3 linked regions of the Saccharomyces cerevisiae S288C genome follow. The protein of the gene in region 2 binds, or shares a complex with, the protein of the main gene of each other region. Each region holds a gene or a part of one and is shown on either strand. Other genes may lie near its edges.

Evidence for each region.
Region 1: GLE1 (region 2) and NUP170 share a complex: the UniProt entries of both Saccharomyces cerevisiae proteins name them as parts of the nuclear pore complex.
Region 3: GLE1 (region 2) and ASM4 share a complex: the UniProt entries of both Saccharomyces cerevisiae proteins name them as parts of the nuclear pore complex.

The regions. Positions count from the first base shown.
Region 1 is NC_001134.8:73,248-77,005, reverse strand, and holds the start of NUP170 (Nup170p), read right to left. Parts: upstream 1,748-3,758; coding exon 1-1,747. Other genes in the region: glutamyl-tRNA(Gln) amidotransferase subunit PET112, read left to right, coding at 2,311-3,758. UniProt on the Saccharomyces cerevisiae protein: Functions as a component of the nuclear pore complex (NPC).
Region 2 is NC_001136.10:86,208-89,965, reverse strand, and holds GLE1 (nucleoporin GLE1), read right to left. Parts: upstream 1,719-3,758; coding exon 102-1,718; downstream 1-101. Other genes in the region: snoRNA-binding protein NHP2, read right to left, coding at 1,984-2,454; active spliceosome conformation promoter CWC2, read left to right, coding at 2,740-3,758. UniProt on the Saccharomyces cerevisiae protein: Functions as a component of the nuclear pore complex (NPC).
Region 3 is NC_001136.10:297,956-301,713, forward strand, and holds ASM4 (FG-nucleoporin ASM4), read right to left. Parts: upstream 2,049-3,758; coding exon 462-2,048; downstream 1-461. Other genes in the region: NUR1 (Nur1p), read left to right, coding at 1-319; LUC7 (Luc7p), read right to left, coding at 2,259-3,044; YDL086W (carboxymethylenebutenolidase), read left to right, coding at 3,458-3,758. UniProt on the Saccharomyces cerevisiae protein: Functions as a component of the nuclear pore complex (NPC).

The sequences.
Region 1 (3,758 bases), on a different chromosome or scaffold from region 2:
AATCTGGAACACTAACGAAAAGCTTATGTTGTAAAGTAACTGGCTGTTGTTTGACAGTTTTAGACCCTGCGGTAGCGGTCGTTCCAGTAACAGATGAGTTCTCTTTTTTTTCTTGTTGATGAGTTTGCTGAGATGACTTGATCACAGCGGAAAAAAATATGCCTGGGGAAATAATTGTACTTGCTTTTGTAGTCTCTAGTAATACAGATGATTTCTTTTGGAATTTTAAGAGGACTGGTTCGGAAGACATTAGATTTGAAAAGAAAGGAAAGCTTCTCTTCGCCTGTTCCTGTTGTTGATGTAGTAATTCTTGTTGGATGACTTCAGGAGTTACAGAACTAGGGGGGAACTTGATCGATTCTAACCTCAAAGCTTCGATGTTAAATCTGCCCATGGAACCATTAAAGTACAAACGCACACCACCTACTGTTAAAGCAACTAAAAACAAATTGTTGTTTTCTTCTGGTGCAACAGAGCTTATCTTGACAATTTTTAGGTATTTGGGGCCCAAAATCGGTGCTGCCCTTGCCGTCGTGGTACCTATGATCCTACTGATGTAGGCAGGCTCAATTGACATGGGTCCTTCCAGTGATTTTTCTGTTATTACGTATGCTCTAATGGTGGATTTGGAGGATAATGAATAGATGATTCCTCTTTGTTGGTCAATAGTTAGTTGCGTGATGGTCTCTTGAGAAAATCCGCCATTACCGTTAGAATTATCTTCGAACAAAGCCTGAATAAAATCAACACCTGGAATCTGCGATAACATGTTAGTAGGTAGAAGACTTAATAGGGCAGACTTTGTCAGACAGACCTTACTACATTTACTATTGAACCAGTCATCGGAACCTGAGTAGTGCAACTCCCAGATATTCAGGCCACTGGCTTGGCCTGCGAAGAAAATTCTACCCGATCTTTCATGAGACACAATGTCTATTACATCAATGCCTTGTACAGGGACTGATAGATGTGTATTGAATACACTGAGTTCGTTGGTGGCTTTGTCTAAGGAAATAGCAAACATGAAAAGCTCCATTGTCGTGCTTATCAAAAGTAGATGCTTCACGGCAGGCACAAAGGTGTTTGGCTTAGGTCTTACCAAGGCGACTTTTTGAATGGTATGCTTCATATCATCTACCACCTGATACTCATTGTCATTGTTAATATTCCAGAGTATCAGTTTATTATCAATAGTTATCCAACATCGATTTAACTCCGGGAAAATACCCATATCAGTTTTTGTCTGTGAAGTGGAAAATTCATGCAAAATCTCGTCCGGAATGTTGAACACATCTTGCTTTTCAAATGGAGTAAACGCTCCTAAGCCGTTTTTTTCTCTGCTGAAGTTATAATCTACCCCGCTGTTATAATAAGATCGTTCGTCGAGTACGGGAGTGTTACTATCTTTATGTTGTAGATGGTCAATGTACTTTCCCGCTAAGTCCAGGGGCTTAGAAGTCCCCATCCCGGAAACACGAATGTGCTCATTCATGTTGGACATATTAGGATTGATGCTGCCAGAGGTCGCCCCCATTGCGCTTGCCCTCATGAGTGGGTTGGACCCGGTAATTGGATATGAGTTTAATATGTGTGTAGGTTGTTGTTGCGCCTTGGTTGCAGATGAGGCCAACTCATTCAGTCCATTCCTGGGTACTTCTTGATGATTCGTTAAAGGGTACGATCTGCTATCTGAAAACGTTTCACCGGCAGCAGCGGGCCCATTGTTGTGGAAAAAACTTTGAAACATGAACAACCGCTAGAAAGAGAAGTAATAAACGCACTCTGCTTTTTTGTCCGCTTGTCAGATCCTAGGTTCCAGTAATTCTCCGAAAGAACTGTTCACTAATATGTTCAGAATTCTACAATATTAATGTCCCATCTCGAAAAATTGTTTTTTTTTTTACAAATAAAGTAACAATCCTTCGTGCAACACGATATAGAGTACATTGAAAGCGTGTCACAAAGAACACATCCATAATCATGGTCCATTGCAAACATTTCAAAGTAAAGAAGAGGATATTTGGGTCTTAGAATCTCATTGGAAACAATCCTCGTTTACTAGAGACGTTAATTCCACTTTCAAAAGCCCTGAAAGATTAACTTTCTGATTTTAGGTTTATTATTTTTTTGTTGTATGCCCTTGTTAAAAATTTAAATAACCCTTGTTTAGATAGGGTTTAGTTTTCCCTTTTGTTATGATAATAGTAGTTATAGTAGTAATAAGCTTGACGTGATGTACTTAGTCGTACCACCTAGTAATAGTGTTATTGTTAGCATTCCTGTCCAAAAAGACCAGAGTAGGAACTAGATATGTTGCGGCTTGCACGTTTTTATTCTTTGGCCAGAACCAAAGCCATACATAGTCACGGTGCACCCTTCAGGCCGGAATATGCATTGAAGTGTGGATTGGAGATTCATACGCAATTGAACACCAAAAACAAGCTTTTTTCACAATCAACGAATAGCGCCACATCTCTAGTGGATGCACCAAACCATCATACTAGTTATTATGACATAGCTCTACCGGGAACGCAGCCGGTTTTGAATCTGGAAGCAATCTTGTTTGCCATGAAACTATCCTTGGCACTGGGTTCTCAAGTGAATAGCATATCTCAGTTTGATAGGAAGCATTATTTTTATGGAGATCAACCTCAAGGCTATCAACTGACGCAGCACTACAGGCCGTTTGCTCGGGGTGGGAAGATCAATCTGTCGAAGGAATTGGATGATATCGATGAATCAGCCAAGGAAATCGGTATCTTACAGTTGCAGATAGAGCAGGACACGGGGAAGTCACACTATACAGAGACAGATAAAGACGTTATTACTTTGGTTGATTTAAATAGGTCGAACGTCCCGCTTATCGAATTGGTAACTAAACCAGATTTCAGTGATATTAAACAGGTTAGAGCGTTTATTAAAAAATATCAGAATTTGGTACGTCATTTGCACATTTCCTCTGGGGACCTGGAAACGGGCGCCATGCGAGTGGACGTTAACCTCTCAATTAATGAATATGCACGCGTTGAGTTGAAGAATTTACCCAATACTAGTTCCATCATCAATGCAATCAAGTACGAATATCAGCGGCAAGTTGAGTTGATTTCTGTGGGTGACACTAGCTCACTGATGGAGCCAGAAACAAGGGGCTGGACAGGCTCATCAACGGTGAAGTTGAGAAGCAAAGAAACCACGATCGATTACAGGTACATGCCTGATCCAGAATTGCCGTATATCAACCTCGCACCAGACGTTATCAGTGGTGTGAGAGGGTTGATGCCCCAATTACCGGACGATATAATGAGAATTCTTATGAAGAAACCCTATCAATTATCATTGAAGGACGCCAAGATTCTGACTTATAATAGTAACCAAAACGATATGTACAATCATGAGGCGTTGAGATCGTACTACTTAGACACCTTCCGTGAATTTTCCAAGCTTGCTGGTGAACGTAGTAACGCGAAATTACCTACGAATTGGATAATCCATGAATTCTTGGGAGATTTGAACAAGCTACAAATTCCATTGGCCAAAGCAAAAGAAATTTTGCCTCCTCCGGTTTTCGCCCAGTTTTTGAAGTTATTGCATGAAGAGGTTATATCCGCAACTAGTGGTAAAATGTTACTGTTTCACATATTGGAAAATTTCGAGCAGAGTAACTGCCAAGATTTGTCTATTCCAGATTTTTCAAAACTAATCGAGAAATTTGAATTGCATGCGATTAATCAGGTCGACCCTCAAGAATTGATGGATCT
Region 2 (3,758 bases):
CCTTGATATCGAGCCGAAAATAAAACTAAAAATGGCGACGTTTAAAATAAAGTCATTATAAAGTGTATTAGCATAATGTGCATATATAAGTTCAGAATTTTCTAAGGAGACATTTCCGGAAAGGACTCCATATTATTATTTTGCCAGGCCTCTAATAAAATTCTTAATCTCGCAGCACCCACATATTTCTTTTCAGCCATTCTGGAGGTCAATTCCTCACCAATCAAGATTAGCAATTTAGAGGCTTGGTTCCCATACGCCTGAAGAAACTGTACGGCAGCGGCATCCCACCACGAACCGAGTATGACAAAATGGGTATTTGTTATTAAATTTAGTGGCGTATTACATATTCTAGCCAAAATATGCCACGATAATGCGATGGGGAAAGGATGACTCGTGGTGGTGATAAATTCTTGAGGTAACTGTAATCTCGTTATTATGGCAAATAATGATAAGATCCCGCCCATTCTCTCATCGTAGGATGTGTTATCTTCCCATTTATTCTCGTTGTTTCTTTTCCATCCCATGTTTTGACGGCCTTTTTCTGTGTCAATCTCACACGTGAATCCTATCACAAAGGGGCATTTCTTGACAAGTCTTGCCATAAACAATTCCTGTAACTCTGGGAATTGGACTAACAAATATAAAGTCAATTTCCCTAGGGGCAGAGCAGACTCTGGTTTTACCCTGACTTCTGTTTCCGCCTGATGTACTACGGCTTTGGCAATAAAGTTTAAAATCCAATGATATGCTAGAGAGTCGCCTTTAGTATCATTTATCAATTGAGTTAGTTCATTCTGTATTTTAAAAAGTTGCTGGTTGCTATTAGTTAATTGTCCGAATTTCGGGTTAATTTTCCTTTTATGACGTGAGAGCAAATTCCTTACATTCACATCAGCTTTTTTTATAGGCAGAACTATGTCTTGCTTTATTTGAGCAATTTTGTCTTTATAATGCCAAAACATTTTGGAGATTTTATCAAAGTTTGTAACTGCTTTACCCAATTTATCCTTCTGCTGCAATAATTTGGCTTCATGTTCTTTTTTCAATTGTCTTTCCTTTTCATTCTGTTCTTCTATTTTCTTCCTTTCTTCTTCTTGTTTCTGCTGCGCTAGCTTTGCTTCAGCTTCTTTGCGTTTACGTTCTTCTTCATCCTTCTTTTGACGTAATAATTCCTGCTCCCGCTTGGCCTTTTCCTCAGCTTCCTTACGTTTGCGCTCTTCCTCCTCTTTTCGCTTACGTTGCTCTTCAACACGACGTTTATTTTCTCTAATAGATTGAATTTCTTTCTGATTGGCAAGCACCAAGTTTTGCATTTTCCTTTGAAAAGATTCTTCTATTGCCTCGAGTAAGGGTGCTGTCGCATTTGAGTTCTTAGCATTATCTAGCAATGACGAATGCGATGCTCTCGGTAGTGGCATATTGGTTGAATGCGGTACTATTATCGATGACGCGGCTACAATGGGCTCATTAATGGGGATCAGTTTCGATTGAAGGTTCAAATCGCGCAAGGCGTTTTCTAGAGCAGGATCTAAAATAACTACCGACTCATTTACCAATTTCTTCGTGCCAACTTTCGTGAATGAAGGTAACTTTATTGCTGGGCTCGGCTCAGGTGTAGGGCATTGCGATGACGTAGAAGATGTTGTAGAACATGTTTCCTCAAATTCTGGAGAATCAGTATCTGAATTGAAAACCTCATCGAACACAAATCTCATTCTTCGACTCTGCAGAATATCCTGTAGCAACGGCCCGCGATTCTCTTGTTATCAATTATATACCTATTTCTTTGATGATATTTTCATTAAACATACAAAAAGTGGAACAGTAGAACGAAGCCCGGTTACCCGAAAAGTCACAAACATTTGATGTTATTAGTAGTATTATATAATATACAGAAGGCCTACAGTCAAAATATATATCTAATGCCAGATTTTTTTTATTTCTTCTAGATTTCTAATATGGTTAAGAAGCGAACTTTTTTCATAAAGCTTGAACTTCTTTGACAACTTCGTTGAAAGATTCCTTGTATTCTTCTTCTTTATTTTTTCCATCTTTTTTCTTATTGCTACCTGGGACGATAAAGACAACTGAGGTAGGTCTTTTTGTAGCGCCAGCGGCACCTAAGTCTTGCTTTGAAGGTATGAAGATGTATGGGACAGAGTGATCTTCACATAAGACTGGGATGTGGGAAATAACATCAGCTGGAGAAATGTCACCGGCGATGACGACTAAACCTTTTTCACCCTTTCTTAAGGCCTTGACAACTTCCTTGACACCTCTTTTAACATTCTTGGCCTTGGAAGCCTTCTTCACGGTCTTCAAGACCTTCTTGTTTAGTTTCTTAGAGGCCAATGGTTTAGCGAATGGCAACACAGCAGGCATTCTGGCCTCATAGTTGTCTACGGTTTTGCTTTCTTTGCTTTCCTTATGTTCCTTGTTGTCTTTACCCATTTTTACTGCACTTGTTTCCGTTTCTCTGCTACCCAATGATCCATTGACCATTTACTACTACTATATCATGCATTCGTTTTTTACTTTTCTTTATTCCTCATCACTTTTTTTCAGAAAAATTTTTTTCAGTTTTTGAGCATTCCATCGTTACATACGTACATATGCGGGTAATGATGAAATTTTCCATTATGTATTGAAGGCTGGATCATAATAAAGACTACTGGCGATGGGCCTTAAGGTAGTAACGACGTTAGTAAGACAGTATACGCATTGATAGAAATTTGGATGACATCTTGGAGGGATAAATCCGCGAAAGTGCAAGTGAAGGAGTCAGAACTGCCCTCCTCTATACCGGCGCAGACTGGATTGACGTTTAATATATGGTATAATAAATGGTCCCAAGGGTTTGCGGGGAATACACGATTTGTTAGTCCATTTGCTTTGCAGCCGCAACTTCATTCTGGGAAGACTAGGGGCGATAATGATGGCCAGTTGTTCTTCTGTCTATTTTTTGCAAAGGGTATGTGTTGCCTTGGCCCTAAATGTGAATATCTGCATCATATACCAGACGAAGAAGATATAGGTAAACTGGCCCTGAGGACAGAGGTATTGGACTGTTTTGGTAGAGAAAAATTTGCTGACTATAGAGAGGATATGGGCGGGATCGGTTCATTTAGGAAGAAAAACAAGACATTGTATGTAGGTGGTATTGATGGAGCATTGAATAGCAAGCATTTGAAGCCAGCTCAGATAGAAAGCAGAATTCGATTTGTATTTTCTCGATTGGGTGATATTGATAGAATACGATACGTTGAGAGCAAAAACTGTGGATTTGTGAAGTTTAAATATCAAGCTAATGCAGAATTTGCCAAAGAAGCCATGAGCAATCAGACATTGCTGCTACCCAGCGATAAAGAATGGGATGATAGAAGGGAGGGTACTGGACTATTGGTGAAATGGGCAAATGAAGATCCAGACCCCGCTGCACAGAAAAGACTGCAAGAAGAACTGAAGTTAGAGTCTTTAAACATGATGGTGCATCTAATCAATAACAATACCAATAGTGCTGGCACTGAGGTTAATAATAAGAATAATGAAAGGTTAGACAGGACATTTCCAGAAGCAAGTGTTGATAATGTCAAGAAAAGACTATTGCCATTAGATAATGGAATGGAGAGTGATGATTTTATAGAAAAATTGAAGAAAGTGAAAAAAAATATCAGTAGAGAAAATATTTCATCAAAGCCATCTGTTGGTAAGCTTGGTGGTCCCTTGCTCGATTACCTCTCCTCTGATGAGGATTA
Region 3 (3,758 bases), 210 kb from region 2:
CATTTCTCAAGTATCTGACCATCAAAGTCATCCCATTGGTTTTCATTATTCTCCTAGAATGTCCCCATATTATAGGGATAAAGTTTTGGATAACAATTTGGCTCAATCATCGTCAAATGAAAATTTAGAGAAGGGCGGAGCTTACCTGCCGAATCAAGACCAAAATAGACCATCGAAATCCCTGAGCCCATTGAGAAAAACGCCTTTAAGCGCACGACAGAAAAGGTTTGAAGGCTCAGAGTTCAATGTATTGAATAAGAATGATATTAATTCCATTCTTCGCTCTCCAAAGAAAAAGAAGAACTATCACAAAAGATAACGTTTCTTAATTATGTCTAAGTATATACAGTTACGTAAAAATCAATAAACAAAAGTAAAACAATGCTGTTTGAAAAGTTATCAAAATAATAAATGTATGAAGTATTGTAAATGTTCATGAATAATTAGCTGGACGATTTCTGTTATAGGTCATTCCAACCAAATAACCAATTACTCAGTTTGTGCGTAAAACCAGCAGGTTCATTATTTCTGTATTTCGCTTCTTGCTGACGCATTTTCGATTCTAGGTTTCGCAACAGATTAGGAATATTCGAATTCGGTCCTGCATTTTGCATGAATGGCAATTTGCCATCTATTACATCCAGCCGCTTATTCGGAGAATTTGCTACTATTGGACTTGAAATATTTGTTGGATTACCAGCATGACCGGCAGGAGTATTATCGTCTTCCCTCAGAAGAGTGCCATCAGTTATTATTACGTTTGGTGGGGATGGTGTATTAGATGTCGACGATGTGGAGGAATTTTGATACATAGAAACGTTGAATTCTCCAATGTCGTCGACATTATCAATTTTGCAGCCAGCTAATTGCTCCACCGCATTTTTTGAATATGGGATGCAACCAATCAAAGAACCGCGAAATATGGTTCCATTTTCCTGCAGTGCTCTCAAAGCAGAAGATGGAGAATTATAAGTGAGTTTGACCCAACTTTCACCAGTAAATATTGGATATTTTTTGTTATTCGACTCATTATTTCTGCCTTTTAAAGTAATAGATTTATTAACAGTAGAATCGTTTTCATCACAGCCTGTATCATGATTATGGAATATTCTGAAGGTGTTGGGGTTAATCCCGCGACCCAATCGCAATACTTGAAAGTCTTCCATAATATGACCGAAATGGGAGAAGTGTTCAATCAATTCATTGGAAATTGATTCAGGATAGCCAAATACGATAATTGCGCTCAAACTAGAAGACTTGGAAGATGTTTCATGGACTTTATTGTTTGTTTCGGCGGTGTTGTAATTATTATCTAAATGGTTCTGTTCAATGTTTGCTATTCTAACATAAGAGTCTTTATCAAAAACATTTGGAGTATTTTTGGAATCATAAGCTGACCTATTTGTTTTCTTCGCCGTGTATTTGTCGGTAACAAACTGAGTTGTTAATGATGGAATAGAACCGAATTCATCCTCGCGTTGCCAATCCTGTAAAGTAACGGAGGGTGGAATATCGTTAAAATTTGACAACAGAGAATTGATGTCATTATTTGCCGCAGACTTATTTCTTTCATTATGCTTGGAATCTTGATTTTGCTTACTGAAATTTCTCATAGTAGCGTTCATAGAAGATGAATCATCATTCTGGTTGATGTCAGAAGAAGAATTTTGCTTTGTTGTCTTCCTTCTTATCACCGTATGAGGAGTGAATCTCTTTTTAGGATTATTCACCCAGCTAGGATTATTCCCTTGGCCATGTTGGCTTATGTTATTTGTGCCGTTTTTAATGTTGTTGTTGTTGATGCTATTGTTACCGATATTACTACTATAGTTATTGGCGTTTACAGTATTGGAAAGTGAGTTTCCAAATCGTAAAGAACTTGCATCGGATGATCCATTGAATTGCAAGTGTTGCTGCTGTTGTTGTGGTTGCGGTTGCGGTTGTGGCTGCAACTGTGATTGCGATTGAAACATCTGGGTTGTCTGTGGTGCTTGCGACGTGAGGTTAGTAAATCCACCGTTATTATTGCCTGAACGTATTCCAAACATTTTAATTTGCCGTTCCTTGTTTTCAGGTTACAGAGAAAAAAAAAAAAAGAGAGCGAATAAAAAACTTAAATAGATAGGGAAACGATATGTCTACCTTATCGGGAAATAAACTATGCAGAGGTATGTGTGTGATATTCACAAACCTTTCTTCTTTCATAAGTACTCTCCTTCGAACAAAATTTTTCTAGCATCATTTTTTTATGTATGGCCCTACACAAAGCGTCTTCCGGGTAGTGTAGTAGCTGTCTTGCTGGCGTTAGTTGTCCGGTTATTCTTCATTAGCCGATCATAATCCTCTCTCATCTTGACATATCCCAGATGAATCTTCCCCAAGAAGTGGTCAGCAAGCCTTCTGTCTGTATCTAAACGCGATAGGTATGCCCCACACACCTCGCAAACCTGTAACTTTTGCTGGGCGCTCTGGCCCACGTTTTCTGTAATGTTTCGTACACGTTTTGCAACTTCTTTCCTTTTACTAATCAGTTCTTGTAATTTGACTGACTGTAGCATACCCATACTGACTTCATCTGCACGAATTAAAGAATCAATCTCTTGTCCCATTAGGCCTATCCGCACGTCCAAGACATCTAGTTCTTCGGTAACCTGCTGAATCTTCATTCGTTCCTCAGCGGTGTGTTTTAGATTTTGTAGTGCTACGGATATCTGGCCATTACACTCATTAACAAACCGAGATAGAATGGCCAGATATTCTCTTTCGAATTCGGGAAACGTTTTGCCCTGCTTGACCTCTCTCTCGTACTGAATTTTATGCTTGGTAAGATGCATCTGCGGGCATTTTCCCAGGCTCTGCTTGGTGCCCTGAAACAGGTCGTAGGGGCACTCGCCAACAAGGTATGACTTGCAGATCTTGGGATCGTGTAGTCCGAGGTCTCTTTTTTGATGCGAATACCTGTTGTGGCGGAAACTGAAGTCCCTGCCCATCAGCTGTTCGACGAGTTTGCGTTGTTCTGCGGCAGGCGTTGACATAGTTGACATTCTGACGGTAGTTGGCAGCTTTCTGCTGGGAGTGTAGAGCCTTTTGTAGTATAACTTTTTGTTCTTTTCTTTCTTCTCTAATGCCTGAGGCTTCGGCGGTTATTCGGGTAATACATTAAGGAAGTTGCCATGATGTGGAAGAATACGACTAGTCAGTTAGCGATGGCCAGCTCCTTTACCTAAATCATGTGGCCTATCTTCAGATAGCATACTACCACCAACCATCAATACCTCAATGGCTTTCAACAAGTACCCTTCGTCGGGTTTTCAGCTTTTTTCCTACTTTGCTGGATGCTTTGTGAAGATCAGGAAGAAATTTTATCGGAAAAACCTCACTAGGAGAAACTATATAAAAGAAGGGTCAGACTGAAAATGACGCCGTAATAAACTCGTGGTAGTAGATAAAGCAAACAATGTTGATTACTGAGACCTTTCATGATGTGCAGACATCATACGGCACCACTCTGCGTATATACGTATATTCTCCTAAGATTGCAGGCTATCCACAAGCTAAGTTTCCTGGGGTGATTCTGTACAGTGAAATTTACCAAGTGACGGGTCCGGTTCGTCGTTTTGGTCAAAGAATTGCGTCTGAAGGTTACGTTGTGGTGGCACCTGCCATATACCACAACTTTATGGGCCCTGAAGCGTTGCCCTATGACGTGCAGGGTACCGATATTGGTAACGAGTACAAGATCAAGAAGCCGTTAGAAT